4 linked regions of the Macaca mulatta genome follow. The protein of the gene in region 4 interacts with the protein of the main gene of each other region in a biochemical or structural test. Links are inferred from orthologs where the notes say so. Each region holds a gene or a part of one and is shown on either strand. Other genes may lie near its edges. The genes, in order: SPTBN1, NHERF1, CD44 and NF2.

The links.
Region 1: the proteins of NF2 (region 4) and SPTBN1 form a complex in vitro, tested with the Homo sapiens proteins (2 studies listed by BioGRID and IntAct). The link is inferred for Macaca mulatta from reciprocal best matches to the Homo sapiens genes NF2 and SPTBN1.
Region 2: the proteins of NF2 (region 4) and NHERF1 form a complex in vitro, tested with the Homo sapiens proteins (2 studies listed by BioGRID). The link is inferred for Macaca mulatta from reciprocal best matches to the Homo sapiens genes NF2 and NHERF1.
Region 3: the proteins of NF2 (region 4) and CD44 form a complex in vitro, tested with the Homo sapiens proteins (2 studies listed by BioGRID, with this or other methods). The link is inferred for Macaca mulatta from reciprocal best matches to the Homo sapiens genes NF2 and CD44.

What each region holds. Positions count from the first base shown.
Region 1 is NC_133418.1:70,002,567-70,009,831, reverse strand, and holds part of SPTBN1 (spectrin beta chain, non-erythrocytic 1), read left to right. Parts: intron 1-5,109; coding exon 5,110-5,256; intron 5,257-6,427; coding exon 6,428-6,691; intron 6,692-7,265. UniProt on the Homo sapiens protein: Fodrin, which seems to be involved in secretion, interacts with calmodulin in a calcium-dependent manner and is thus candidate for the calcium-dependent movement of the cytoskeleton at the membrane.
Region 2 is NC_133421.1:84,419,233-84,427,165, reverse strand, and holds the start of NHERF1 (Na(+)/H(+) exchange regulatory cofactor NHE-RF1), read right to left. Parts: upstream 4,452-7,933; 5' UTR 4,281-4,451; coding exon 3,840-4,280; exon of another isoform or gene 3,272-3,839; intron 1-3,271. Other genes in the region: RAB37 (ras-related protein Rab-37), read right to left, coding at 7,709-7,814. UniProt on the Homo sapiens protein: Scaffold protein that connects plasma membrane proteins with members of the ezrin/moesin/radixin family and thereby helps to link them to the actin cytoskeleton and to regulate their surface expression. Necessary for recycling of internalized ADRB2.
Region 3 is NC_133419.1:30,083,707-30,090,971, reverse strand, and holds part of CD44 (CD44 antigen), read left to right. Parts: coding exon 1-74; intron 75-2,901; coding exon 2,902-3,015; intron 3,016-3,484; coding exon 3,485-3,604; intron 3,605-6,288; coding exon 6,289-6,417; intron 6,418-7,265. UniProt on the Homo sapiens protein: Cell-surface receptor that plays a role in cell-cell interactions, cell adhesion and migration, helping them to sense and respond to changes in the tissue microenvironment.
Region 4 is NC_133415.1:21,880,196-21,887,460, reverse strand, and holds part of NF2 (merlin), read left to right. Parts: intron 1-1,771; coding exon 1,772-1,885; intron 1,886-5,506; coding exon 5,507-5,629; exon of another isoform or gene 5,630-6,247; intron 6,248-6,282; exon of another isoform or gene 6,283-6,935; coding exon 6,936-7,153; intron 7,154-7,265. UniProt on the Homo sapiens protein: Probable regulator of the Hippo/SWH (Sav/Wts/Hpo) signaling pathway, a signaling pathway that plays a pivotal role in tumor suppression by restricting proliferation and promoting apoptosis.

The sequences.
Region 1 (7,265 bases), on a different chromosome or scaffold from region 4:
GCCTTTTGAATTATAAAATTAATGAAACCAGAAATCCATAGCACCCATTTGACTCGCAGGCAGGGATATGTGGCACTTCGTCAGTTCTCCAGCCTACAAGTTACAGCTTAATTAGATCATTATAATCTAGAATATTATATTAATAGTATAGTACTGCACTGTTCATTACAGTAGCCACCAGCCACAATGTCTTTATGGTTGGTTGGCTATTTCATTTTAAATTAACTATAATTAAATAAAACTAAGAGTGTAGTTCTTCCATCTCTAGCTATATTTTAGTGCTCAGTAGCCAGCTGTGACTAGTGGCTACCATGTTAGACAACACAAATATAGAACATTTCTATGGTCAAAGGAAGTTCTATTGGATATGGATGTCCTAGAATATTGTGCAACCTAAAAGCATTTAGTGGCATGTTTTCACTCTTTAAAGCAATGTACATTTCAATGGTGTGGAAGGAAAGAACTAAAGGGAACTGAAACTGGCTACCAAGTAAGAAGTGGAGATTTTAAAAATACAAATTAGTTTCTTATTCACTTAAGACCTTCATCTGTCCATCTTTCAGGCTCTTCCCATGTGTATCTAACATGCAAAGAGCAGTAATGCTGATTCCAAGCACCAAGTTTTCACATGTGGTATTAATCTGATGATCATTGTACTATTTCATGCTCTTCTGATACATTCACAAACTTTGAAATCTAAAGTTGGCCAGAAAAAAGTAGTTTCTCTGCATGCTAGTTGGAGAATAGCATCTAGCTGATTTCACATGTGGAGTTTATGAGCATACCATATTTCTCTGTCTGCCGGAGAATAACAGACACTCAGCCCTCTCTGGTTTATTAAAATAAAAATCCTCAGGCAAAAATGGGGTGAGGAATATCCACACAAAACTGCAGGAACCTTGATGGGGCTAAGAGTATGGGGGTAGAATCAGGTCATATGCTGAGAATACAACTCCTATCATCACAGACACCCTGCATGCAAACATGTGACTGTGCATTAAAAGAAATACGGCTCCAATGACAGCTGCGTTAGATCACGTATAACAGAAGCAATCCTTTGCGTCCGTTAAACTGCTGTCTTACTGTGAATCTTGCAATATGCTCTTGCAGCAAAACCTTAAGAAGGAAAGCCCCTAAACTATGAAGCTTAGGGTCTGTCAGCTTTAAGCACCACATTGATGAATCTAGGTCTCTGGGGGATTTGCCTGGAGCCAGACAGGCTGAAGACAGGAGTGCCTCGTCTAAGTGACACGCAAGCATTAGTAACCCATTTGAATAGGATACTCACTTACAGAGGCATTCGTGTTCCAAGACAGGGCATAGAAGAGAGTAATGGGATCTAAAGCTAGCTATATGGAGTTGGCCTAGTGTGCTGTAGTAATACCAGTTGCCATTTTTCACCATAGGGAGTAAAAGGGATGAAGAGGTGTTTGCAGCTTGGACTGTGCCTTCCACAGATTGGTAGTCCCTGTTCCACGTTGAGGAACCATCAGTGACTCCCTGTAACCTCAGCCCGTATTCCTGGAGATGGGGAGGTCAATGGGATCCCACACTCCTGCTTTTAAAGGGCAAGTTAATAAGATGAAATTCATTTACCTAACCATGGTAAAGCTAAGGTTAAATCTGAGAAAAAGAAGGCCGGGGTGCGAGCACATGAGTGGCCAGGGAACCCTTGAGAGAAACTCATTTGTATTGGAAATTTCCAGTCTCTTATTTTCCACTGACATATGTAGATTTCACAAGTAGACATATATGGGAAAATAAATACATAAAGTTTTAGTTCTTCCCGATGGAATCACAGGAAATGGTCAGTCTTAATAGGTCTTTAGATCTTTGTTTCCACTTGCTCTAAATTAGCATCCCTGGTTATGAGGAGTTCTTTCCTCCACACACACCTTGGCTGAGTTCCAGTGATTGTGAGGCATGCCCAGGGGCTCTGTCTTCTGTGACTTCTCCTCAAAGGACACAGGAAAATTTAGGTGGGGCTTTTTATGTCCAGGAGATGATTTGCATATCTCCATGTGATTGCTCTGCCAACTCATCTTGGTTTATCCTGTCTTCCCTTGTTCTGCCTGTCTGTCCTTGAGCCACATTAGAAGTTAGTACAGCCATAGTGCGTGTGGGAGGTGTCGTGTATCCCACACCAGCATGTATAGTCTCTGCATGGTTGGTGGAATTTAGGTCAAGCTTGGGGGCTCTAAAACTCTTGGTATAGTACTATAATCAAAAGGGTGATACAGTCATTGGCTATAAATTTTCCCATCATTCAGCCTTATTAAAATATACCCCTTTTAAGCCAGAATCTTTTGAGAATGGTGTTTGTGTGTGGACCAGCCCTACATTTGATAATCTACCTGTCATTCTGGTAGATATTTACAGAGCACTCAGAGGTCAAATTTATTATTATTACAGGATGTTGGTATTGTTCAAGATATGGGGAATCCAGGGGTTTGTCTCTTTTTTCGGCTTCCTTCCTTGTTGGGTGCCTTGGCTAGAGAAGGTGTGGGTTGTAAGATCCACCCCTGTTGCCACCCGCATAAACATCGCCTAGATGAGGACAACTGTTATACCAGCAATACAGTATGCTGGCATATACAGTATGCTGGAATGAGCAGGGACCCTCCTATTCCCAGTTACAGTGGGAAGATAGAGACCATCATCATCTTTGTAGTGTTTTTGTTTTGTTTTGAGACAGGGTCTCTCTCTGTTGCTCAGGCGGGAGTGCAGTGGTGGGATCTCGGCTCACTACAGCCCCCACCTCCCGGGTTCAAGCGAGTCTCCTACCTCAGCCTTCCGAATAGCTGGGATTCCAGGCACGTGCCACCACACCCAGCTAGTTTTTGTATTTTTAGTAGAGATGAGGGTTCACCCTCTTGGCCAGGCTGGTCTTGAACTCCTGGCCTCAAGTGATCCACCCTCCTTGGCCTCCTGAAGTGCTGGGATTACAGGCGTGAGCCACCGCACCTGGCCTGTAGTGTTATTTTAATGTGATGTCCTGAAAAATGAATGAATGATTTTAAAGGTGTTCCTTTTTTTGTTGTATTTCCTCACGCTATACCACCTATTTTCTGGAACTGATTTTTATTTTTCCAGGAAGGCAGGCAGTATGTCTACATGTGTCTGGTACAGGGATGTGAGTTAATCCTTTGCTGTTAGCTTAATTCAATGATCAAAGTATTTTTTCCTTATCTTTTTCCAATCTGCACAGTGTTCTTTTCTGCAGAGAATGAGTAAATTCTTAAATGACCTTTGTAAATGCCCACAAATAATAACTGTAGCTCTGGCTCCAGAATGCTGATGAACTAGCAAGTTCCATAGATCCATTTCATTGTGCTGTATCGCATGATGCTTTATCTGTAGGATGATGTGTTCAGCAAAGAGCAGATTTGTTTATAAGCCTCTGATTTTTATGTAGCGCTCCCTCTCTCTCTTTTTAATCCCTCTTCAATAGGTGGTTATGAATAGTGAAAATATGTGAATGTCCTTGGCACTTGGAATCGATAAACGCCTTCTATTTTGTGTGTATGTACAGAACACAGGGAAACATTTTGTCATTCAGTTTCCCTTTAACCTCTTTTCCCCTAAGATTGAATGGCCATAGTCTTTCAGATTTAGCTGCCCAGAAAACTGGAACATAGATAATTATTTCAAAGTAGGAAGTGCAGTGCCTTTATTGTGTAATACATCCATTGTCTTTGATGACAAAGGGCTTTATGAGATTTGCTAGTTTTTCCCTCAACCAAGAGTGACATCAAAAATCTCACTACCTTTTGCTTTTAACCCCCTCCCACCCTCTGGCCCCTGTGCCATTCCCTGCGTGGTGAGTAGCCCGAGAAAGGTAAGGACAGTACCCAAGAGTTCACCCACTTTCAGAGTCGGGGGCTCCTGTGACCCACATCACTATCCTTGACATCATTTCCAAAAAACAAATCTCTGGGGGGGCCTTTCCTGGCAGCAGCCCACAGCGGGAGTGGAAGGGCCTTGGAAATGTTAATTCTGTAAGTACTTCTACTGGTTTTATGTGCCACTTCTAGATCTTTGTTGATAGATCCATGAAGGATTTAAGGTGCCAATTTGCTGTGACAATAACTGGTATAAAAGTGGGCTTCTCACGGTCACTCAGGAGAAGAGATATGGTCCCTTCAGTTGGTTGCTTCTAATTCCAGGCTGGCTCTGCATTCTTTTGTGTATCTTCAGCCTGGGCAAAAAAAAAAGCTTTTCCTAGGTTAGCACAGCAAATGGGGTGGGAATCAGAACTCTGGCATGGCGTTTACAGGCAGGCAGTAATGAGCCAGGGCCGATTCCGGATGGAAGCCAGGAAAAGTGGGTCTGGGCCTGGCGTTTGGCTGACCCCAGTAAGACAGCTCCTTTCTCAGGTCTGTCAGCGGCCGGCAGCCTTTGTGTGGCTCTCCAGAGTTCAGATCCAAGCGGACATGTTGGGTCTCAAAATCAAGTCCTGTGAAGTGTTCTTGGTGTGAATGAAAGGTTCTTAGAGAACTTGAGGCTATAGAAAAAGAGGTGAAGGTGACTCAAACTTGAAGGAAACATTGAAAGGGCATCATTGTTGCCTTAGCCCTACAGTGAGCAAGTTATTTATGCCTTTTGGCATTCCCTTCGATGCACCCGCAAAAAGGAGGAGGTTACAAATAAGCAGTTTTTGTTTTGTTTTTTTAAATAAAAAAGAACTAAAAGAGTTAGAAGGATTGCCAAATGGGGTAAAAGTCAATCATGATTAACATGGTATAGCTGACACAGGTATTTGGAAGAGAAAAAGGGTCGTGTCTTGGACTGGTCAGGGCAGAATTTTAAACACGGGCCTTTTGTGGGGAAAGCCAGTTTTGAGTGCCAAACAGTTTGAAAGCTGGCTTATAGAGCTTTTGTACTTCTGGAATGAATGTTAGATATAGTTTGGAGCAGAGCTCAGGTACAAGCTCCATCTAATGGACACCTGTCATGACGGGTCGGAGTTGTGAAGTTAAATATTTGGCTGTCTGTCACCATGGAAATGTGTGTAGTATGCATAATATGACATAAACACAACCCATTGCAGGCGGAAAAAAGGCTGACGTCTAGGATCACAATCGCTGAATCCTTCTGATCTTTCCCTAGCTGTCTCTCTGGATCAATGAGAAGATGCTCACGGCCCAGGACATGTCTTACGATGAAGCCAGAAATCTGCACAGTAAATGGTTGAAGCATCAAGCATTTATGGCAGAACTTGCATCCAACAAAGAATGGCTTGACAAAATCGAGAAGGTGAGTTAAAACATTTGATGTGGCCATGGTGAGAAAACAAACAGGGTAGTAATAACCTCCCTTTTATTTAGCACATTTTCCAAAACATCTGAGTCTTATCTGTACATTTACGTAAGTTACACAGCCAGTAATAGCAGCTCTCTTTGCACTTACGGGTTCCTGAATTCAACCCATCAAAAGGGAAAAAAAACAGAAACCCAACCAGATAGTAGAAAATGCTTGATTTATCTTAGAACGAATATTAGGCATTTAGTTTCTATCGTGCCTCTCATCTGCTGTTGCTGATGGACTGTGAGCTCTCATGCAGGGATTCCCCTATCTTGATCATATTATTTGTGTTGCACTGTGACAGATTGCACATAATTTTAAATATATACATATTTTTTAAAATTCCTTTTTCCTGTGAGACTACTGTATACCAGGCACTATAATAATTATTATAACTTGTAATTCTGGCACAGAGATTCCGTGCAGCATAACTGAAGATGAACGTGGAGTTCCCCACCCCTCCCTTCTCTCCTTTTAGACTTTTTAAATTGTTTCAGATTCTTCATGGTTAAAATAATGTGTTGGCGGAGCATGGTGGCTCACGCCTGTAATCCCAGCACTTTGAGAGGCCAAGGCAGGTGAATTACTTGAGGCCAGGAGTTTGAGACAAGCTTGGCCAACATGGGGAAACCCCATCTCTATGAAACGTACAAAAATAGCCAGGCCTGGTGGTGTGCGCCTGTAATCCCAGCTATTGGGGAGGCTGAGGCATGAGCCCAGGAGGCAGAGGTTGCAGTGAGCTAAGATCACGCCACTGTACTTCAGCCTGGGTGACAGAACAAGACCCTGTCTCAAAATAATAACAATAGTAATAATGTGTTTTATATCATCTTTGGTCATGGAGTAGAGGGGATGAAGTCAGGTTATTAGCATTCATTTTTCCATTGCCTCAGTTGAAACTGTTTCAGCATTTAGCATTTATTGCTTCATTCCCATGAAACCCATGTAATGTATGCAAGCTAGGCCATTGTTGATTTTATTGAGCAGTAACTTCATGTGGAAATACTGTGTGTGTTGAATGAGTGGGTAAATCACAGATCAAATGTCCTAGGTTTGTTTTTCACAGTGACATTTTTTCTGTAGCAAACTGTTTATTTACAACCATGCTGGTTTTGTTTTCCAGGAAGGAATGCAGCTCATTTCAGAAAAGCCTGAGACGGAACCTGTGGTGAAGGAGAAACTCACTGGTTTACATGAAATGTGGGAAGTCCTTGAATCTACTACCCAGACCAAGGCCCAGCGGCTCTTTGATGCAAACAAGGCCGAACTTTTCACCCAGAGCTGCGCAGATCTAGACAAATGGCTGCACGGCCTGGAGAGTCAGATTCAGTCTGATGACTACGGCAAAGACCTGACCAGCGTCAATATCCTGCTGAAAAAGCAACAGGCAAGTGGACAAGCCTTCATGGACTTGGGTTTGTTTCTGTTTTACAGCCGTAGTCCTTACAGTCTTTTCTCACTCACTGCATTCTCAGGAGTCCACCTTCCATGGGAAAGCATTTGTAACCCAGAAAAGTACTTGCTCTAACAGCATCATACAACATTTCCAGAATAGAAAGCTACCTGTCCAGCCTAGAAAGACACAGTATTAGGAGTATTGGGTGTCGGCTGTCTGTGTATGGGATTGATAATTTTCTTAGTTAATAGGTGTTATCGCTATTTAACAGTTAAATAAATACTCATCTCACTCAATTCTGCATTTTACATTAAAGAAATATTCACATACTTTGTTGTTTAACATCTTGATTTGTGACAGTTATCTGAGTTGTTCAAGGCACTTTATAGATAATAAAAGTAACTGTTTATATTACATCACTGTAGAGGGCTTTAAGGGCAAATGAATTTACCTCAAATTTACTTGAAAACAGTTCCATTGATGTTGAAAAAGCTAATCAGTGGCAAAATCTTCCAGTGGCTCCCATTGCTGGCTTTGCAGTGTGGCCAAGTCCCTGGCCCAGCAG
Region 2 (7,933 bases), on a different chromosome or scaffold from region 4:
GATCCCAGAGCCAGCACACAGCAGAGCTGGGATTCAACATTGATCTGGCTGACCCCAAAGCCTGGACTTTTGGCTTTCTAGTTTTCAAATGGAAGCTGCTAGCAGGCAAGAAAGAGGAGTTGGTAGGTTCTATCTGGAATTCCAATCTCTGGGTGGGGCGGGATGAGCTAAATGAGGACAAAGGTCCCTGACTGTTGTTATATATTCATTCATTAATTCAAAAACTGTTTTTGAGAGCCTCCCTGCCGTGTGCCAAGGACTGGCTGGGGATAGAAACACAAATAGGCCACAGTTGATGCCCTTGGGCTTACCATGTAGTGGAGAAAAAGGTCACAAACAGATGATTAAAATATTGTGTGTTCAGAGCGATAAAAGATGTGAGGACAAAGAGGAGGTGGAGGCCGAGGCGGGCAGATCGCCTGAGCCCAGAAGTTCAAGACCAGCCTGGGCAATATGGCGAAACCCCAGCTCTACAAAGAATTTTAAAATTAGCTGGGCGTAGTGGTGCATGCCTGTAGTCCCAGCTACTAGGGAGAATGAGGTGGGAGGATCGCTTGAGCCCTGGAGGTCGAGGCTGCAGTGAGGCGAGGTTGTGACACCACTCCAGCCTGGGTGGAATCTGTCTCAAAAAAAAAAAAAAATGAAGGAAAGGAAATGCTAACTCTGCCTACTGGATTAAGGACAGGCTCCCTGGAAAGGGACAGAACGGTCAGGGTATGAAGGCTCAGAGGCTAGAGACGAATTCGGACCCTGGGTGTGGTTTTGGGGATAGGGAGGTAGTGGTGAGAACAGGATGACAGATGGAGAAGGGCCATGGAACAGCATATCACTCTTTAAAAAAAAAAAAAACAAAAATTTAATAGAGACAGGATCTTGTCATGTTGCCCAGGCTGGTCTCGAACTCCTGGGCTCAGGCGATCCTATCCTCCCACTTTGGCCTCCCAAAGTGCTGGGATTACAGGTGTGAGCCACCACACCTGGCCACAACATATCATTCTTAACCCACAGTGACCATTGATCGGGCACTGACTGGGTGCCAGGCTTGGCCACAGTGGCACTTGCCCAACTAGGCAGAGGCTGACCCAGTGCTAGCTGCCCCATGATAGATGTGCAATGATCACTGTGAAATATGTATTCATTCCAATACCAACTGCAAAGGCTGGATGAGCCTGGACTCAGTGCCAGGCACTGAGCTACCTGCTTTACACACAGCCTCGTGCAATTCCGAGGTAGCTGCCATCACCCCCAACAACTTACACAAGAGGAAATGGAGGCTTACAGAGGTGAAGTAACTTGGCTCCGCACAGCCTGGCTAGTACAGCTGAGCTGGCTCAGCTCTGCGCAGCCGGCACTCTGAACCCAGACTCAAGGGTTTAGGCCTCATCCTGTGACTGGTGGTGAATCGGGGGAGGAGGGTTTTAAGCAGGGGAGCAGCAGGGCGGGTGCTGCTGCCCCTCTGTCCCCATGGGGGATGAGGGGAAGGCCATCCACAAAGCAAAGCCGGTGGGCAGAGCTGGAGAGCCACTTCTACCTCCTTAGGCCTAGACATCCCAGCGGGGACGGCCAGTGTTACAGGCACCCATCAGCCTCTGCCATGAGTGGTTCTGGACACGGCTGGTCTTCCCAGCCAGAGGCCACCCAGTTAACCACTCTCTGTGCCACACTTTTCCACTGAGATCCTCACTTAGTAAGTGGAGGGCTAATGAAGATAAGGAAACAGCCCCACTTTGCACACAAATTCAGACTAAAGCGAACTGGCAAACCTCCATTTGATGCTTTAGTAGTAAAGGGGTGTGTTTTAGAAAAAAGAACTCTTACAATGTCTGTTAACATTTTTTTGCAATAACCGCCCGGGCCATCTGTATGCTCAACACACGGGGTTGCGGGGATTTTCTGCTAGAGGGACTCAATGGTGTTGACTAGGAGTCAGTTTAAGGATCTGGGGTTCAAACGCCGGGCATGAAGGAGTGCGGTTCAGCATTTAAAACTTTAATAAGAGGCTCAGGTACTTCATGTCATTTCTACAATTCTAGAGAAGGCAGGCATCACATCGCCCAATGCCTCCATCTCACAGATGGGAGAACCAAAGCTCAGAAGTCCTCGAACTTGGCTGGTGATGGTGTCCCCAGGATTTGCTAGTGGCTCTTCTCTCATCTCTTGGCCTAACAAAGTACACACAAATGTAGGTGTCCCTCCAAAACATGCAGGAATCTGATTCTGTGCTTACCCAGGAAGCTCAAAGCTGCTGCCTTTGGGCACATGTGCTATGCCAGGCCTCCACATTAGCCTCCCAGGCCCTCTGGCACCCAGCAGCATAACCAAAAGGGCAAAGGGAGGAGCTGAATGAGACTGTAACTTGTGGGGGGTGGGGGTGGGTGAGTATTTGTGTGGGTTCCAAAGTCCAAAAAAAAAAAAAAAGAATGTCAAATCGATCGATGGACTCAGCATAAAGTTCACACTGGATTTCTGCCTGGGACTGGAGATCATCAGCCCCAACTCCCTGGTGTCAACCCCCTTGCTACGGGTGCTCAGGTCCCTTCCCCCTCCCCTTGCCAATGCCAGGTTGGCAGGGGCAGGAAGTGGGAGCCTGGTGGCCCTGGCATTCCCAGCACCCACCTCTGGCTGGACAGGGCTTCTGGTGACCTCACTTCCACCAAACCAGTTGATCCTCTAGGGCTTTGCCTTCTCCCTTAATGCCAAACTGTACCCTTTCTCTGTCCAGAAGGATCCTCCTGGTCCCCATGGACACTCCCATCAGACACTGCCACCAGGGCGAGCTGGTGCAAACTGAAGGGGCCCTGGGAGGCTCACGCCCTGCCCTACACAGTACACCACTCCACTCTCTGGGGACAGGAGGCTCAGCACAACTCCTGTTTTGCCAGCTGCCCCTCCTGCAGCTGATCCAAACTGGGATCCTATGGGCAAACACCAAACATGGGCAAAAAGCAACCGGCCTGCTGGCTGTGTGGGCACCAGAGTGACCGTGGCAAGGCCAGGGCAAGACCACCGGCTCACCGTGAGCTCCGCTGGCGCACACAGGGCCGTGAGCCTCAGGAGCTCTCTCCCCTCCCCCTAGCCATCTTTCTCTTCTTCTAAGGTCTTCCCCCTCCCCTCCCAGATACAGCTCTAGGCGCTTACTCCTCACATTCCTGAGAATCGTAAATCCTCTGAGGTGGCAGAACCACCACTCCGAGATGCCTTGGCTCCTCCTCCCCGCCAGGCAACCCCCACACCGCCCTGAGATGGTGGGGCTTCCTCTCCCTTAGAAGTCCCGGGAGGATGAAGTCCTGCAGGACTGAAGTTCAGGACACACACCGGCGGGCTGCGGGGAGGGCCTCCTTGCGCCGGGGCTCCACACAGGAGTAATGCTATTTCTCTAGCTTTTGACGTAGGAGTGGCGGGGGAAGCTGGCACCTCTGGGGAGGAGAGCCCTTCCTCCCTGGCCCATCTGCGGACTGGGGTGAACGAGGAGAGGGCGCCAGGGGACGGGCAGGATTGGGGGATTCCGAGGAAGGGGAGCAGACACCCGCAGACCCGAGGGAAGGGGGGCTGGGTTCCCCTGCGCCGCCCTCCCAAAGGCCAGGGAACAAGAGGTGCAGGCGGCAAAGGCTCTCAGGCTCCCAGCACAGCCTGGGAAGGAGAGGAGGTCGCGGGACGCAGCCCCAGGCCTGCCTAGGATGTGCCAGAGCGCCTGGTAGGCGGGCGGAAGCGGTCTCCCCCTCGCAGCTCGAGTTTCAGAAAAACGACGGCCGGCGCGGGGCTGGACGGCCGGGGCACCTGGGTCTCTCTAGATCCCCCTCCCACTCCATTCTAGCCTGCGCGGCCGGGGCCGAGCTTACCTGCTCCGGGTGGCTCTTGTCGGCCTCGCGAGGCTCATTTTCATTGCCAGCCCCCTGCGCCTCGGCGGCGGCCGCCGGCTCGGCCTGCCCCGGCGTTTCCTGGGCGCGCAGCAGCTCCTCTCGGACCTGGACGCCAAGCTTCTGCAGCTGCTCGTCCGTCTCGGGGTCGACCACCAGCAGGCGCACGGCGTTGAGTGCTGCGCGGATGCGGCTCACCACCTGCTGGTGGGTCTCCTTCTCCACATTTTCGCCGTTCACCTCCACCAGCCGGTCCCCCGCCAGCAGCCCCGCCTTCTCGGCCGGCGAGCCGGGCTCCACCAGCCGGATGTACTGGCCCAACTTGCCCTTCTCCCCGTGCAGGTGGAAGCCGTAGCCGTTCGGACCCTTCTCCAGGCAGCAGAGCCGGGGCAGGGGCGCCCCAGCCGCCGCGTCCGCGCTCATCTCGCCCTGCGACGGGTCAGCGGCGCGACTTGGGGTTCCGTTGGGGATGGGACGGGACGGCCCAGCCCTTCTTCCTGTCCGGCAAACCGGGAGCGCAGCGGGGAAGCCCTGAGCCGCCGGACGGGCGAAGCGAGCAGGTGTCCCAGGAACCGCCGGCCGCCGCGGGCCGCGAGGAGCCGAAAGAACTGCACGGACCAATCCCCGCCCCGCGCGGCGTCTGAGCGTCCCAGAGCCCGCCCCAGCTCCTTACCCCGGGGGCGGGGCCGCACTGAGGGTGGGGACCTCCGCGGGCCAATAGGGGGCTGCGGGCCGGGGCGCTCCGTCCGGGTGAACGGCGCCGGCCAATGGGAGCGCGCGGGGCGGGGCCTGTGCTCGGCACTGCGCCCCGCAGCGGGCGAAGACAGTGCGCTCAGGAAGTGGAAGTGTTTGTTACCGAGCGGCCGGCGCTGGGGTGGCAGGGGCGTGGCCCGCCGAGTTCCCGGTTCTGGGCGGTGGGGCCCGCTGGCTCAGGCCTGGTTTCCCCTACCTGTGGCGGGGAGTGAGGAGAGCTGGCCCTCGGATAAAGGGCTCTAACTTTTTTTTTGTTTTTGAGACGGAGTCTCGCTCTGTCGCCCAGGCTAGAGTACGGTGGCGCGATCTCGGATCATTGCAACCTCCGCCTCCTGGGTTCAAGCGATTCTCCTGCCTCAGCCTCCCGAGTAGCTGGGATTACAGGCGCGCACCACCACGCCGGGCTAATTTTTGTATTTTTAGTAGAGACGGAATTTCGCCATGTTGGCCAGGATGGTTTCAAACTTCTGACTTCAGATGATCCGCCCTGGGATTACAGGCGTGAGCCACCGCACCTGGCCAACGTTTTAACAGCCTTTAGCCAAAGCCTGGGTGCAGCTCCAATTGAGAGGGAGAGGCTGTTGCCGTGGCAACCACTCCCGCGCTCGGGGCAGTGAGGGCCTAGCGGTCTCAAGAATTAAGACGGAGGGCCTCCTGGGAACCTACAGAGTTGTTTGAATAACATTTTTCCGTTTGTGGGAACCCTAACCCTAATCCACTTTGTGCTGTCCCAGGACTTGCATAGAGGAGTGCAGGTTCTGATCCCTGCTGGGAAGATGAGGGCTCAGCGAAGGAGAGCCTGGGACCCCGAGGGGCAGCCCACTGAAGACAGGCCATCTAGGCCAATGGCGTGGGCTTTGGCGCAGCGTTTGACTAGGGAGGTGGGGTGGGGAGAGGCAGGACAGACTCAGGTAATCAACCTCTGGGTACGCTCCACAGGGAAAGGCCTTGGTTTTTTTTTTTTCAACAGAGAAAAATGATTAGGACCGTAAAGCCTTCTAGCTCACTCTTGCCAAAGAGAGGGTGGTCACAGAGGCGGGGAGACAATCTCTTAGGAGGGTAGCTGGCCATCTGAGGACAGACACTGAGGAAGGAGGATGGAATGATTTTGGCAGTGAATGACAATTCCTTCAACAGGACCCCCCTGCCACGCTTACTTCAAACAGTGGACAGGATGTGCTTTCCAAAATACTGCAGTTTAATTCTGAAAAACTCAAATGCAAGAGGCCCAGAGCTGTCTACGGGATTGGAGCTCCTGCAACCTGCCTTGGGCCCCAGAAGAGACTGGCAATGTCAGCCTCCTCCCTGCTCTGCCTGGGAGAGGCCACGGAGAGCTTCCTCATCGGGCCCAAACTGGAGCCGCTGACTGCTCAGAGCAAGATTTCTGCCTTGAAAGCAAATGCTGTAGGCTCAGAAATGTGCAGTGCATACTTCTTCCTCCCCCCCATCCCCACCCAGGCCTGCAGAGCTGCAGTAAAGGTGCCTGCAGGTCATGACCTCATGTCTCCTGTCCAGTTCCAATGGCAGGGGTCAGAGCTTTGGGAGACATGTGACCAAAGAGGCCACATGAACTTGCTACCCCTCTCTCTACCCCCGACATACCCACATGACCTTGTTTTACTCACATTGCATTGGTTTAATTCAGAGATGGGTGACCTCCCACCCCCTAACCTGACAGAGTAGGTGGGGAGGTAAAGCAGTTTAGGCCCTGGTATCTATTTGAGAAGTTAAAGGAAAGGGCATGGGTGGTCAGGGAGGAGGCAGAGCTTGGGGTCAAAGGGATACACGTGGGGGGAGGTTTGCTTAATCTTGTCTCCCACCAGCTCCAGGAGCCAGGGATTTCTTTTTCACAACACATTCCAAACCTAGGAAAGGGATTTCTCCTTATCTGGCTCTTAACCCGGGAGAGCTAAACACTTCAGCTGCTTGAAGAAATTGCCTGTGGAGCTGCATGCCTGCCAAAGGATTGGGATAAGACACATCTCGGCTGGGCGTGGTGCCTCCTGCCTGTAATCCCAGTACTTTGGGAGGCCGAGGCCGGCAGGTCGCTTGAGCTCAGGAGTTTAAGACCAGCCTGGGTAACATGGCGAAACCCTGTGTCTACAAAAAATACAAAAATTAGCCAGGTGTGGTGGTGCACACCTGTAGTCCCAGCTACTTGGGGGGGCTGAGGTGGGAGGATCGCTTGAGCCCCAGGGGATGGAGGTTGCAGTAAGCGGAGATTGCACCACTGCACCCCAGCCTGGGCAACAGAGCGAGACTCCATCTCAAAAAAATAAAAAACAAAACTATTTTCCTGGTTCTGACCTGAGGTTTTTAGGTGCACAGGCAGGAAGGTAGCTAAGCCAGGGATTCCATGGGGAGGGTCTCCCCCAGGATCTGAGGTCCAGAGAACAGGAGCCGGGAACCAATATTTCCAGGTGCCCCAGTGTGCTTGTGTGCTGGAGAAAAGGGGCATGCCTCCAAGGGGGTGTTAGTAAGGCCAGAGGTAGCCAGCCCGACCCTACTCTCTGCCCTGTGTCCTCCACCTCCCATCTCCTTATCTCTTATCTTCCCTGAGGCTTTGGTCTCCCTCACAGCACAAGGGCCCACTTATTTGGGGGATGGGGTGAAGATAAGCTCCTGGAGAGCAGAAGACAGTGAAGGCTGGGGTCAGCTCAGCCTCTCTCCAGCTGAACTGAGGGTGCGATGGAGTCATTACCTGCCCTCACCCCCAAAGTGCATCTGTGTCCCCTGGGGCTGAGCTGGAGCAACACCACCTTTGTTATGCTTAGGAGGGAAGGCCAGCCCCCCAAGTCCTAGAAAGCAAAAGGGTTACTAGGGCCCAGCCTCGGTTTTTTGGGCATCCAGGTGCCTTTTTTTTTGGTATTAAATTATGTACTATTCAAATAAAAGCTAAGTGTTTTACCCTCCCCGTGGATGCGGGGAGACCGCAGGAACTCAAGTAGGAGCTGGAGTACAGCTCCCTAGTAGGAAGAGGCTGTGCACTGGGTCCTCCATCTTTCTCCCCATTGGCTCAGCTGCTTGGAATAAGCCAGGCCTGGGGGGAACGGCTGCATCCCGTGGGCCTCCAGAGCCTCCTCTCTGCCCCTTGGGATTCACATGAAGGAGCAGCAGCTGGAGCGCTTCTTCTGGGACTCCACATAGTCTCGGATCTGGAAGCTGGGCTCATTCGCCTGCTGCCCGGCCCGGTATTTCAGCTCCCTTGAAGAAGAGGCAATGGGCTGGGCTGGGGTGGGCTGGGGTGAGGAGCTGAGCAGTCCCCTCCCACCTCCCAGTGGCCCAGAGCAAATGGACCTCAGCCTGCAGAATGCAGGTGTGTC
Region 3 (7,265 bases), on a different chromosome or scaffold from region 4:
AGATGAAAGAGACAGACACCTCAGTTTTTCTGGATCAGGCATTGATGATGATGAAGATTTTATCTCCAGCACCAGTAAGAATAATCAATTACAGTACAGCCATTTATGCAAGGCTTATTGATTAATCTGAGTGATACCTAATTGTATCTCTCTTGAGAAGTAGTTAATGTGAAAAATAGGTGAACCTGTGATCATACCTTAGTTATATCTTGATGAGATTATGGAAGAAGAAATAGAATGTTTTGAGAAGTGGGGAAAATATCTCATAAAATTTCTAATGTCTCAGGTTCTTCCTGTTTTATTTATCAATGAAGTCTACTGCTACAGATTGTCTTTGAATGATCAGGCTTTGTCAGAGGATGACATTAAAACAGTCCAAAAAATATTCATTGTGTACTTACTGTGCTAGGTGCTGGAAACACAAAGATGAAAAAAGCCAGAGCCTTTGCCTTTCAGAATCTCATGGTCTGTTGGAGCAATAGACTTGAAGAATGTGATTAGGAGGGTATTAATTAAAATTTGTAGGCCAGGCGCGGTGGCTCACGCCTGTAATACCAAAACTCTGGGAGGCCGAGGCGGGCAGATCATGAGGTCAGGAAATCGAGACCATCCTGGCTAACACAGTGAAACCCCGTCTCTACTAAGAAATACAAAAAATTAGCCCGGCGTAGTGGCAGGCGCCTGTAGTCCCAGCTACTTGGGAGGCTGAGGCAGGAGAATGGCGTGAATCAGGAAGGAGATAGCGCCACTGCATTCCAGCACTCTAGCCTGGGCAACAGAGCGAGACTCCATCTCAAAAAAAAAAAAAAAAAAAAAGTTGTAGAAGATCCTAAATTGAAGGCCCTTAAGGCTTAAATGATGGGAGCTGGAACTCAAGAATTATCTTAATCAAAACCCGACTAAGGTCAAAGGAACAAATCCAGAGTTTTAACAAATGAGCTGGACACCAAAGACCTTGAAGGGAAGGGCAAATGTCAGGTTAGCTTTAACAAGACATTACCACTTATTAAAAGCAAATAATGAAACCACTATTGGTACATAATAGTATCCAAATTTTTGACAATTATAAAACTTTTTGAGAACAAAGAGATGGAAATTGAGCTTTAAAGATGTCCTTAAAAAGTTAAAAACATGCAAAGGTTGGTCTAATAGTCTGCCAGATTACTGAGTTTTCCACACATACCTGTAATGACTTAAGATTTTGCTGAATAGAGCTGAGAATCCTGAACCTGACTCCATCACAGTTTTGCTTTTCCTTAGAAAAAAGGCTTTTGGGGTGCTATGTGAGCTCCCCCAATTCACTGAAGTTCTATCCATTCCATTAAAACCTGACAATTTAATCCTCAAACGGATAGCACACAGAGAAGAAAGGGTCCAGAAAAAAAAAAATAGCTTAGGCCTTGAAGGCATCTGAATATATAACATTGATATAACAAATACTCAAAAGGAACTAGAATTTTCTATCTAAACTTTTAAGTGATTTTTTTAGACCCAGCACCCCTCCAGAGCTTAATCTATGGAATAAGAAAATTATTTTTGGTAACTTCAGAACAAAAACCAAATAATCAAAAACACTGGAGTTTTACATTACACTGTCTCCTGTGTTCAGGATGTGGCCCAGCTTTGCAGGTAGGTCCATTAGTAAAGACGTGGTCTTGATATTGAAGAAATTAAATTCCCTTGGGGAGTAACCCAAAGATATCTACCTGCAAATGAATTGTATGGTCAGGCTTCAGGGAAAAACTTCCCATGGTGTTTTTTTGTTGTTGTTGTTGTTGTTGTTGTTTTTAATTTTTAAAATCTCTATGGCATATTTTCCAATTTCAGTTTACTTTTCTGCTTAGCACCTATGGACATAATTCAACATGATGCCCTCTTTCTTCTGGAGGGGTGCGATAACTGCTTGATAATAAGCACCTTTTCATGCTTGTTGAGAATGTGGTTAATGATTCTAAACTCGATTTTCATAACTTGTAAAATAGAGCTGACAGTATTATAGTTCTGAAAACAGTTTTGTGTTATTTGGGTTTCAAAATAAAATTTGAAACAATTAGGATGGATTTGCAAATAACCTTTCCACAAAACACATTGATTCAGATTTTGTCATGATCTTTCTGTTAGGTGCATCTCCCATTCCAGCCCTAACAGATTGGGTGACGATATCAGGGTGCTGGTGGATGTATGCCTCTTTCTTTCCATTGTGCTTCTGTGATGGTGGCTGGTTACCTGTGGTGTCTTATTTTCTTTCATTGGCTATGAATGGCTTGCTCGTGACATATTTTGTATTTGATGAGAATACCATAGTGTTTGATAAATATTCAGAAATGGACAGCTAAAACATATGGCTATTCTAGGTAGGTAATATTTTTCGGAATCATCTATAGGAAAGCTCTGGCTGCTCAGACATTTCTTTCCCCACTGAAATTACTAACAACATAAAGTGATTATCATGGTATAACTTTCAGTTATCTGCCTCTTCACCCTGAGGATCTACAAATAGCACACAGTGACTAAGTCCCTGGGCTTTCAAGTGCAGAGGGATACTACAGACTGCATGGATGGGCAAAATGGTGCCTTTGGTTATCCTCGGTGAAGGGCTGGTGTTTTCAAAGCTGTCCTTCCTACTGCTGCAGCTTCTTTGACTGTTTTATCTGGAAGATCTCATGTTCTGAACCCTAAGGTATTCTATGACAGAATGCAAAGGACACTGAGATGCTTACCAATATGGCTGAATTAAGCTGAAGGCATCCTCCGCTTTCCCTCCATTTCCATGCCGCCATCTATACAACCTGGTATAGATGATTCATTGCATAGTCTACAGAAACAAGACTATATGCGAGACAAGTGGCGAAGGCTCAAGAAATAACATTTTTCTAATTGCTTCAATCATCGTTATCACAGTTTCAACCACACCACGGGTTTTTGACCACACAAAACAGAACAAGGACTGGACCCAGTGGAACCCAAGCCATTCAAATCCGGAAGTGCTACTTCAGACAACCGCAAGGATAACTGGTAATGGGTTATGCATATTTAATGAAAGGTTTTTTTTCCCCTCAAAGCCTATGATGCTGCAAAGGTCAATCATCGGGACACAGTGGGAAATTTAGCTAGTATCTCATCAAGAAATTCTTAGTGGACTTTCATGAGGATACTTAATTCCATTTAGGAGTCATTTATCAATTATACCATGTGGGTATATTTTTATGTTGCTTCATTATAAAAATGAATATGTTTGAAGGATTTATGGTGCTGCCTTTGACAAACTGATCATAGTGGAATAATAAGGGAACATGAAGAAATTCCAAGCCCATTGATTTTCTCTTGAGACCAATTAGGTAAAGTCACTCAAAATTTTTGAGAGTGGATGCTCAGAGATAATACTTTGGCATAGAATTGTTAAATAGCATGCACTTTAATGGAAGAACAGAATCATTAAAGCTTGATTGATAACAAGTCACAGTGTATTTAACCATCATCACAGCAGATGTAGACAGAAATGGCACCACTGCTCATGAAGGAAACTGGCACCCGGAAGCACATCCTCCCCTCATTCACCATGAGCATCATGAGGAAGAAGAGACCCCACATTCTACAAGCACAAGTAAGCAAGATGGCGGTCGGCAGTTCTGGGTTAGATGAGTTAGTGAAGACATTCCAGCAATAGGGAAGATTTTGTTTAGAAATTGGCCACATCTTCTATTTCCACTTAGTAATTTATTTTATTCTCAGAGCCTGAAAATCTGCCAAACTTGCACACAAATTTTAAAAATTGGAAGGAAAATGATAACACTTCAGGTTGCCCAAAGACCAAAATGTTTTAAGAAGTAGATCTAGATACAATTTTTGTGTTAAAAGTTCCTAGAGGTTCCATTTGGGTAACTTGTGTGTGTTTATGGAAATGTGTGGCAAAGTGTGTTCTTTTGGTGCTTAGTAGTGAAATCTGGAAAGAAAGCTTGTCAAGTGAATTGATCTTTGGAATCCTTATTTTCTATGAAGATCTTTGATGAATATAGTTTCTTTTTTGCATTCTGTCCTTGACTGTTCTATAGTCCCTTGTACTCTTTAGAACAAAGTTGGTAGCTCGTATGGTCTGCATTTGAATTCTATCACTGCTTCTTTTTCTGTTTTTAAGCCCAAGGTAACTTGGGGAAGGCTTTGATGCTCTTACTGTTATTTCTACTATTATGAAAACTTGTCAGTTTTTCTAAAACAATCTCAAGTTGCAGCACTGGACTGTGAGAATAGGGGACCCCCTCACTCCCCAAACATAAGAAGTAAGTGCTTTTCTTCTTTTATCTGTCCCACTGAGATATGTCTATCTTATTTGGAATAAGAGTATTTATTTTGGAAAACAGCTTTTTAGCATTTTTAAAATGATGATTTGACTGTCATTCTCACAGCCCTAAATACACCTAATGCGGAAATGTGAGCTATAGCCACTTAAAAACCAAAGGGCTTTGGGAATCTATAGCTTGAGGTGTGTCTTCAGACAACAAAAGAAAAGTTTCAGGTACCAGCTAGGATAGAGGTTAGACGTTGTACTAAATATATCCAGCAGACCTTACATTCCATTACAAACCCCAGTAGATCTGATGTATGCATAAGGCTTACGGACTAAGTTAACAAAGAAGTCTAGGAAAAGAAAATACAGAGGAAGCATAAATCTCTTTGGAATAGGATTTTGTTCCAGTCCCTTAGAGCCCTAACTGTATATCTTAGAAATTGTTTTAGACAGTTTGCACTTAAAGACCAGAAAGCTACTTTAGAGACTTGGAAATAATGAGCCTATTGTCAAAAGGTGGTGCTTGGGGTGCATTAGGACTAGAGGGTAGGTGAAAATTCAGACAGAATGTAACTTGACAAAGAGAAGACAGTGAAAACTGTAACAATTCTCTTATGAATATTTGCGAAACTCAAAGGGATCTGATTGGTGACCTCTGGTCTTTATCAAATTAACATCACAACTTCTAGAAGAAAGTCAACCTTCATCTTTTACAATAGAAATCATATGTTTTGTGAACTCATTCCTATTTAGGCTGAAAACAATAAAGAGTTATGGGTACTTTAAAAACTCATTAAAGTAGTGATAGAAGGAGTATAGAGTCCTTCTATGCAGTCACACACATACACTTCCTTATTTCTTTTATTTAAACTTTGAGTAACATGGCAGTCTATGTTTGGGTCAATATTCCTTTTTATGTAATTACATTCAGTGGTTTTTCTAACTTCATTATTGGTTGGGAATTAGTGATTTAGTCAGTGGTAGGTAAAACTTAAGATTCTGGCTTTTTTCCCCTCCCCCTGGATAGCCAGTTAACCCAATAATGGCTTGGCCAATGTAAGGGTAAAATGAGGACTGTTCTATTTTTTAAATGTCATTGCCGTCACCAAATCACACATATCATTTTCTAAGATAATGAAATACAACCATTTTACAAGTTACAAAAAAAATACTCTGGCTTGGCAAGTTAATAGGCTCTCATTTTCTTGATAAAACAAAATTGCTTTAAGTTGCTATAGTTAAAAATGTTGGTGGCTTTCTGACTTTTCCTGAAGGCACCTTGATGGAATTTTATTCTGTTGATTTTGTCCTTTTTAAAATAATGGTTGAAATTTTAAGCCTGTCACACACTATTATTTATATAATGCCTCAAACTGGCTTGGATAGTTTTTGTCAACTGAATTAATTTTGTTAAAAAGTGATTTTAGCAATTTTAGGCGCCATATGAACATTGCCACATAATGTGTTAGTGAAATAGCATTCAAGCCATCCCAACACCTTTCCTGCTGGGCAAATCCACTGCTGGTGCATTTCCAGTGTGTGCAATTATGGGTTACATGACCACCATTTGAGACGGTCTCCTAATGCGCTGATCTTGTCAGTTGTTATACAGTATTTTCCTTTCATCAGAATGACTGGAGCGAAGAGGTTATTCTTTGAATGGTTTTCTAAGACAGGGTATGTGACGCCATACACTACAGTAAAATAAAAATAATGATAACTCATAGAACTCTGAGAATTCATCAGCTATGGTCTGCTTAGTCCTATGGTTTTGAACAAATCAAAACCTCTTTGGACCACAATGTTCCCATCTGAAAAATTAAATGTTTGGATCATTTTATTTCTAATATCCCTTTCAGAATATCAGTGGCCTGTTTCCTTGCTGCTTTTCTTTTCTACCTTCTGTTCCCATGTGTATCTGCCCTTAAAGTAGAAAGATACGTTGACAGCTATTGGCAAGGAAAATAGAAAATTATGTCTCCCAACTGATATTCTTCTCACAGTCCAGGCAATTCCTAGTAGTACAACTGAAGAAACAGCTACCCAGAAGGAACAGTGGTTTGGCAACAGATGGCATGAGGGGTATCTCCAAACACCCAGAGAAGACTCCCATTCGACAACAGGGACAGCTGGTAATGGGTGGTTTAACAAGTAAATTTGGATGGCAACTTCCTTTTGGGTTAAATGGTAGACATTGAGGACACTGAACAAAAGGACATTGGAGGAATTGTCACAAGATGTTAGGTTACTTAATAAATTATGCTGCAGTTAACACAGAGCCAAACCTTAAAGGCTCATAACAAGTCACCTGAACAGGAATGGATACAAGCCAGTTACGAATAAGAACAGGAAACACAGAGAACATGCCCTTGAACATGTCTCTTTCACACCGAGTTCTGGGCATTATCTAGTGAGATTGTAGCGGAGGCCCTGATAAAATATCCCCTTTTGTCGTACAAAGGAATCTACTCTAGAATATGGGTCCAGACTTTACAATGTGATTCTGCAAAGTCTGACTTGTGAGAAAGCATTTTGCTAGAACTCCAGTGTTTGAAGAAATAGAGCCAGACATTATGTGAAAAATGACACCTGTCTGATGTCATTTGGCCTTTTGGCCATGCCTGTTTGGTAATTTGTCCTTGAGTATAAACAAGCCATCTTCTCTATTCTTGAACTGTGAGATTGTGGAAATTGGAATCAAGTCTTATCATCATCTCTAAGTGATACCAGATGACTTGGCTCTGCAAGCTCCCATGCAGGATATTTTGTCTGTGTGACATAAGTATTGAAATGTGTCCTGCCTTATCAAGAATGTGAATTCCATATTCTCACTTGGTATCAGTGAGAAATATTCCCATATTTCTATTTGCAATATAGAAGATAATACGTCATGTACTTCTGGGGCATGGCAAGTTCTGAATGAATTCCTGGCAGAGCAATGGATTCTGTGACTGTCTATGTGGTGTGGTTGTTGCTAAGA
Region 4 (7,265 bases):
TCATGCCTAGCCTGTAATCTCAGCACTTGGGGAGGTCAAGGCGGGATAATTGTTTGAGGCCAGGAGTTTGAGACCAGCCTGGGCAGCATAGCAAGACCCTGTCCCCCCAAAAATGAAAATGAATAAAATTTAAAAAAAATAAAAAATAGGGCCAGGCACAGTGGCTCAATGCCTGTAATCCCAGCACTTTGGGAGGCTGAGGCAGGTGGATCACCTGAGGTCAGGAGTTCGAGACCAACCTGATCAACATGGAGAAACCCTATCTCTACTAAAAATATAAAATTAGTCAGGCGTGATGGCACATGCCTATAAATCCCAGCTACTTAGGAGGCTGAGGCAGGAGAATCGCTCGAACCCAGGAGGTGGAGGTTGCGGTGAGCCGAGATCATGCCATTGCACTCCAGCTTGGGCAACAGGAGCAAAACTTCGTCTCAAAAAACATAAATACATAAAAATAAATAAAAAATAGAATTTAGGAGTAGGGGTACAGGGCTCAGTATATGTTCAAATTTCAAAATTGTGACACATTGTTTTCTAAAGAAGGTGAATTGATTTTTACAGAGCCAACAGTAGTGGGTGAAATTTCTTTTTTGCTATCCTTAATACTTGTATTATCAGCCTTTAAAAATTTTTGCCAATCTTGTGCATCTAAAATGGTATCTCATTATCATATTAACTTTTTTTGTTTGAGATTTTGAAATAGGGTCTCACTCTGTTGCCCAGGCTGAAATGTAATGACACGATCATGGCTCACTGCAGCATGGACCTCCCCAGGCTCAGGTGATCCTTCCACCTCAGCCTCCCCAGTAGCTGGGACTACAGGCACACACCACCATGCCCAGCTAATTTTTTGTATTTTTCATAGAGACGAGGTTTTGCCATGTTGTCCAGGCTTATCTTAAACTCTAGGCTCAAGCAATCTGCTGGCCTCCACTTCCCAAAGTACTAGGATTACACTTCCCAAAGTGCTGGGCCACCATGTCTGGCCAAATTTTTTGATGTTTTTGTAGAGATGGCATCTCACTATGTCACCCAGGCTGGTCTTGAACTCCTGGGCTCAAGGATCCTCCCACCTTGGCCTCCGAAAGTGCTGGGATTACAGGTGTGAGCTACTGCACCTAAGCTGTTTTCTTTATTGGCTATATCTTCCAGTTGGTGGCTCTGTTTTTCTTTTTTTATGTCTTGACAATAAAAATGTTTAATTTTAATGTAGACAAATATATAAATTTTTTTCTTAATCACTTTTTGCGTCTTACTTGGCATCTTCTCTTATCCTGTGATCATTAAGATATTCTTCTATATTGTCTTCTGAAAGTTTCAAGGGCTTAATCTTTGCATTTAAGTCTTCAATCCTTCTGGAGTTGATTTTTGTGTAAGGTGTGAGGGAGGGATCCAACTTATTTTTTTCCACATGCACCCTGTTGCCTTAGCCCAGCTTACTGAATGAGCTTTCCTATCCTCCCTGGTCTGCAGAACCACATCTTGATGTAGGAGAGTAAGGTGCACCCAGAAGACATGGTGAAGTGTCCTCCAGTGCTCTCTTCATTTGTGATTTTTACCTCCTGGCATATCTGAGGCACCTTCATTTTGCATGTTTCCACAGCTGAGAGCACTAGAGGCCGCTAGCAGGGCGTTAGTGTTTCACTCCATGCGTTCATCTTCACGTTTACTGCTACCTGCAAGAGCTCAAACTGCTATAGCACTAGTGAGCCGGCAGGCAGTGAAGTAAATTTGTGGATATTAACCTTTTTGTCTGCTTCTGTGGCCACAGATTCTCCAGCTATGTATCGGGAACCATGATCTATTTATGAGGAGGAGGAAAGCCGATTCTTTGGAAGTTCAGCAGATGAAAGCCCAGGCCAGGGAGGAGAAGGCTAGAAAGCAGGTGAGCATGACTTTGTTTTAACTGATGATGTCACTGTGTGATCAGTCCTGGCCTGGGAGGTGAGGAGTGGTTGTGGGCTCGCAGGAGTCTTTTGGCCATGGACATACCTGCTCTTGTTTTATCCCTGTTGGATCTTCATTTGCTGATGCCTACCTGGTGGGATGTCAGCTCTGGAAATGAGGAATAAACCCTAATAGCATATCTAAAAGAAATATCTCTAGTAATTTCTACACTTGGAGAAATTAAGTGTGATTAACACCGGTTTGGGACAAAATAGCCAAGAGTGCATGCATCTGTCTGTCCAGCTAGCTAGCTTGCTTGCTTTTTTTGCCTGTCTGCCTCCTTGTGCAGCCTTCTCCTTTTCTAATTAGATGGTGATAGAATGCAGGGTGGCATTTCAGTGCTTGCTGCTGGAATGCTAATTGGACTCTGGCCGCAATTCCCCACTGCAGGTGAGACCGCATGGCATGTCACCTGCCCCAGGAGGTGGCAGGAGCACCTATCAGCAGACTGGATGATCTGCATCATTGTTTTCTACTCATAAACCTTCTCTACTCATGGAAATCCACACAACTAATTTGGGCCTTACTGCTGAGAATATCAGTTGTGTTTTTGGATGAACTACTAGATAGAGTAGCAGCGGTTGCAGTTGGCTGCCCTCAGGACTTGGAAGCTCAGAGGTGTAATAATTAGTCTGTGTGCACCTTTCTGATTTTGATACAATGGAGAGGCTGGCTCCCAGCCCTAGGATTTAGAGTGAAATGCCCAGTGTGCTTCCAGCTCTTCATCTCTTTGCTTTCTGAGGTGGCAGGCCACAGATGTGTTGTTTGGGATGCTTTGGGGGTGATGGGATGGATTTGTTGGACAAAGAAATCCTACTGAGCCAGCATGGGGTCATAGTGGCAGTTTCATGAAGAGCTCTTGGCAGTGGCTCATCCCTATAACTCCAGCACTTTGGGAGGCCAACGCAGGAGGATCACTTGCCTAGGAATTTGAGGCTGCAGTGAGCTATGATTGCACCACTACATTCCAGCCTGGGTGACCAAGCAAGACCCTGTTTCAAAACAGAAGCAAAACAAAATACCAAAATAAATAAGAAGAAGGAGGAGAGCTCTCTTTGACCTTTTTCTTAGCAGAGCAAAGCTTAGAAGTAAGAAATCTGAAAGTGTCAAGGAATATGTAGCCTGTGGGCCCCGGCAGAGAATAGCAGGAACACTGCGATCGGCACTGCCTACAGCACAGCAGAACCACAAACCTGGCATCTGGGCAACCACAGATCAAGGTCAGACACTGACCTTGGAGCCAGATCTGAAATTTAGAATGTGACTAAGTCAATGACTTACCTTCCAGACCTCAGTTTTCTCATCCATCAGGTGAAACTAATGATGTACCTTCTCCATCTCGGATGAAGGGATGTATATTACACCTTACAGTCTTTGTAAGCAGCAAACTGATTTTGTGAATAGGAGGTCCTTTATATTGGGGTAGAGGTCTCCAGGAAAGTACAGTGCCAAGAACTGAAGGAGATTACCTGACCTTTTTTTTTTTTTTTTTTTTTTAAATAAGAGACTGGGTCTTGTTCTGTCACGAAGACTGGAGTGCAGTAGTGCCATCATAGCTCACTGTAACCTCGAGCTCCTGGGCTTGAGCAATCCTTCTGCCTCAGCCCCTCAAGTAGCTGGGACTACAAGTGCATGCTACCACACCTAGTTAATTTTAATTGTTTTGTAGAGATCAGCTCTTTCTATGTTACCCAGGCTGATCTCAAACTCCTGGGCTCAAGCATTCCTCCCGCTTTGGCCCCCCAAAGTGCTAGGAAGACAGGCATGAGCTGCTGTGCCTGCCTGGCCTAACTGGGCTCTCTTGTCTTGTCTTGTCTTGTCTTGTCTTGTCTTGTCTTGTCTTGTCTTCTCTTCTCTTCTCTTCTCTTCTCTTCTCTTCTCTTCTCTCTTTCTTTAAGAATTATAGGGGGAAGTGGGGAGGGATAGCATTAGGAGATATACCTAATGTAAATGACGAGTTAATGGGTGCAGCACACCAACATGACACATGTATACATATGTAACAAACCTGCACATTGTGCACATGTACCCTAGAACTTAAAGCATAAAAAAAAAAAGAATTATAGATATGTAGTAAGCCACCTTATGGAAATTGTAATATGATGGAAATTAGAGAACAAATTGGCCAAGCTTTTCACTGACTTGCAAGAAAATTGGAGAACAACTTTCACCGTTTTATTGCTTGTCTTTGCATTATCTTTTCAAGCTCCAATGTATGTAGATGTGTGTATAATATGTGTGTGTGTATATATATATATATATATTTTTTTTTTTTACTTAGGATTTAGAAAAAGCAGCAGTCTTAGAAACCTTGTATGACCAGAGTGTGGGATAAGATTGAAGCAAGAAGTAATTAAATGTGCTTTAAATTATTTAAGGCAGAAAATAATGCAGTGGACACTTCTGGATTCTGCTTTCTGAACTCAGTTAGTACCCCAGGATCACAGAGGAATGGCACTGTCTTGTACTTGTTCCCCTTATTAAGCTCAGCATGTGGTCCAATTAATGCAGTGATCCAGAAGGCAAGGGAGGTAGTGGTGGCTTTGTACTGTTGCCTTAAGGACAGGGGGCTGTGTTCCCTGCCTGGCTCCCTCCTGTCATAGGCCTGGCTCAGGAGTTGTCTCTGCATGAGGCTGTGCAAGTCTGTGCTGTGGCTGTTGCAGCTCCCCCCTGTGAAATACAATGTGTGAACTATTGATGCATCACGTAGAATGATTCCATCTTCTCTGTGGGTCAGAGGCAAGAGTGGAGCTATTGTTGATGAAATCAGAGATGTGAGAGGGGTCCATGTGGATTAGAAATGGTGAGATGACTTGCCTGCCCAGATGAGAAAGCTGCTTATTTCTGGGGCTCTATCTGAGGGAGGAGGTCCTGCATTGTGTCCCATCAGCCACGGGGCAGAGCCACCTGAGGTTTCCCAACAAAAAGCAGCATTGGCAAGGTAGCCATTTCAGTGCACCATGTATAAGAATGCCTCCGTCTGCTGGGCACGGTGGCTCATGCCTGTAAATCCAGCACTTTGGGAGGCCAAGGCGGGTGGATCACAAGGTCAGGAGTTCAAGACCAGCCTGGCCAATATGGTGAAACCTTGTCTCTACTAAAAAATACAAAAATTAGCCGGGCATGGTTGCAGGCGCCTACAGTCCCAGCTACTGGAGAGGCTGAGGCAGGAGAATTGATTGAACCTGGGAGGCAGAGGTTGCAGTGAGCCGAGGTCATGCCACTGCACTCCAACCTGGGCGACAGAGGAAGACTGTCTAAAAAAAAAAAAAAAAAAAAAAAAAAGAATGCCTCTTTCTATCCAGGTCGAGACTCGGTTTGGTTTTTTGTTGGTTGTTCGTTTGTTCATTCACTACTAGAATTTTTTTCAAGTGGCTCAGCTTTCAACTCTGCAACTGGTTTAGAAGAATGGGGTGGGGAGCAATAAGAATGACCCTGGTTACCTAAAGGAAAGGGAAGGAAAAAGGTCCCAAAAGGGGAGACTCTGGAGATGGGGCATCTTTGGGCACCCTAGGTCTCGAGCCCTGTGATTCAGTGACTTTTTCTTCACCCCCCGCAGATGGAGCGGCAGCGCCTCGCTCGAGAGAAGCAGATGAGGGAGGAGGCTGAACGCACGAGGGATGAGTTGGAGAGGAGGCTGCTGCAGATGAAAGAAGAAGCAACTATGGCCAACGAAGCACTGGTGATTTCTGAGGGGCCGGGGTTCCAGGAGGCTACCTGGGGGCTTCCTTGGCTTTTCTGGAGCTCGGCCTCCTGAAGACCATGAGTTAGCAGCGTTTGCTTTGAAAGACTTAATTTCAGCTTTAAAAAAGATCAGTGCCTTTTCTTTCCACCTGTGTTGGCAGAAGCAGATTTAGTTTGAGCTTATGTGCAGCCAAATTCCACTTTCACCACGAGGTTGCCTTTACAGCAGGGCTTCTCAGCCTATGCACTACTGACATTTGGGGCTGACCATCCTTTGCTGTAGGCACTAGATCCCAGTAGCAGCACCTCACCCTCCATTTGTAACAATCCAAAACATCTTCAGACATTGCCGTATGTCTCTTTTTTTTTGAGAGACGGAGTCTTGCTCTGTTGCACAGGCTGGAGTGCACAGTGGCACGATCTTGGCTTACTGCAATCTTCGCCTCCCAGGTTCAAGTGATTCTCCTGCCTCAGTCTCCCGAGCAGCTGGGATTACAGTCACATGCCACCATGCCCAGCTAATTTTTGTATTTTTAGTAGAGACAAAGTTTCACCATGTTGGTCAGGCTGGTTTTGAATTCCTGACCTCGTGATCTGCCTGCCTCAACCTCCCAAAGTGCTATGATTATAGGTGTGAGCCACCGCGCCCAGCCATACTTTTTTTTTCTTCTGAGATGGAGTTTCGCTGTTGTTGCCCAAACTGGAGTGCAATGGCATGATCTCGGCTCACTGCAACCTCCACCTCCTGGGTTCAAGTGATTCTCCTGCCTCAGCCTCTTGAGTAGCTGGGATTACAGGCGCCTGCCACCACACCCGGCTCATTTTTTGTATTTTTAGTAGAAATGGGTTTTCACCATGTTAGCCAGACTGGTCTTGAACTCCTGACCTCAGGTGATCCGTCCGCTTTGGCCTCCCAAAGTACTGGGATTATAGGCGTGAGCCACCGTGCCCGGCCTGCCACATGTCTCTTGCAGGGGGCAAAAAGCTCCTCTGGTTTGAACCACTGATTTAAAGGGAAAGAGCAGAGTTTAAGTTGTTTTTCTCCACATGCAGCAGAAGCCTGGGCTGAAGTGGGTACTCAGAGAAGGTGCTCTTGTTACTCCCCATGGGTGCAGCCCAAAGGACCCTTCTGAAAAGCTGGGGAAAGGGGCTTGTCATCTCTTGTCAGAGAGTCATGGAGGGCACTCAGCAGCAGGACCCCAGGAGTCCGAGACTCTGGTTTGTCGCATCTCAGTGTTCAAGGCAGATCTGGGCGGGAGAATAACACATGATCCAGCTTCAGCTAAGAGCACCGTGCCCTCCAGATGCGGTCTGAGGAGACAGCCGACCTTTTGGCTGAAAAGGCCCAGATCACTGAGGAGGAGGCAAAACTTCTGGCCCAGAAGGCCGCAGAGGCTGAGCAGGAAATGCAACGCATCAAGGCCACAGCCATTCGCACGGAGGAGGAGAAGCGCCTGATGGAGCAGAAGGTGCTGGAAGCCGAGGTGCTGGCACTGAAGATGGCTGAGGAGTCAGAGAGGAGGTGAGGGGGCACTGGGCACCAGACTGGTGAGGAGGCTGGCGAAGGGCCGCAGACCAGCCTTCCCTGAGGCTGAGCTCTACAGCAGCTGTCCTCAAGCTGCTTCCCCATCTTC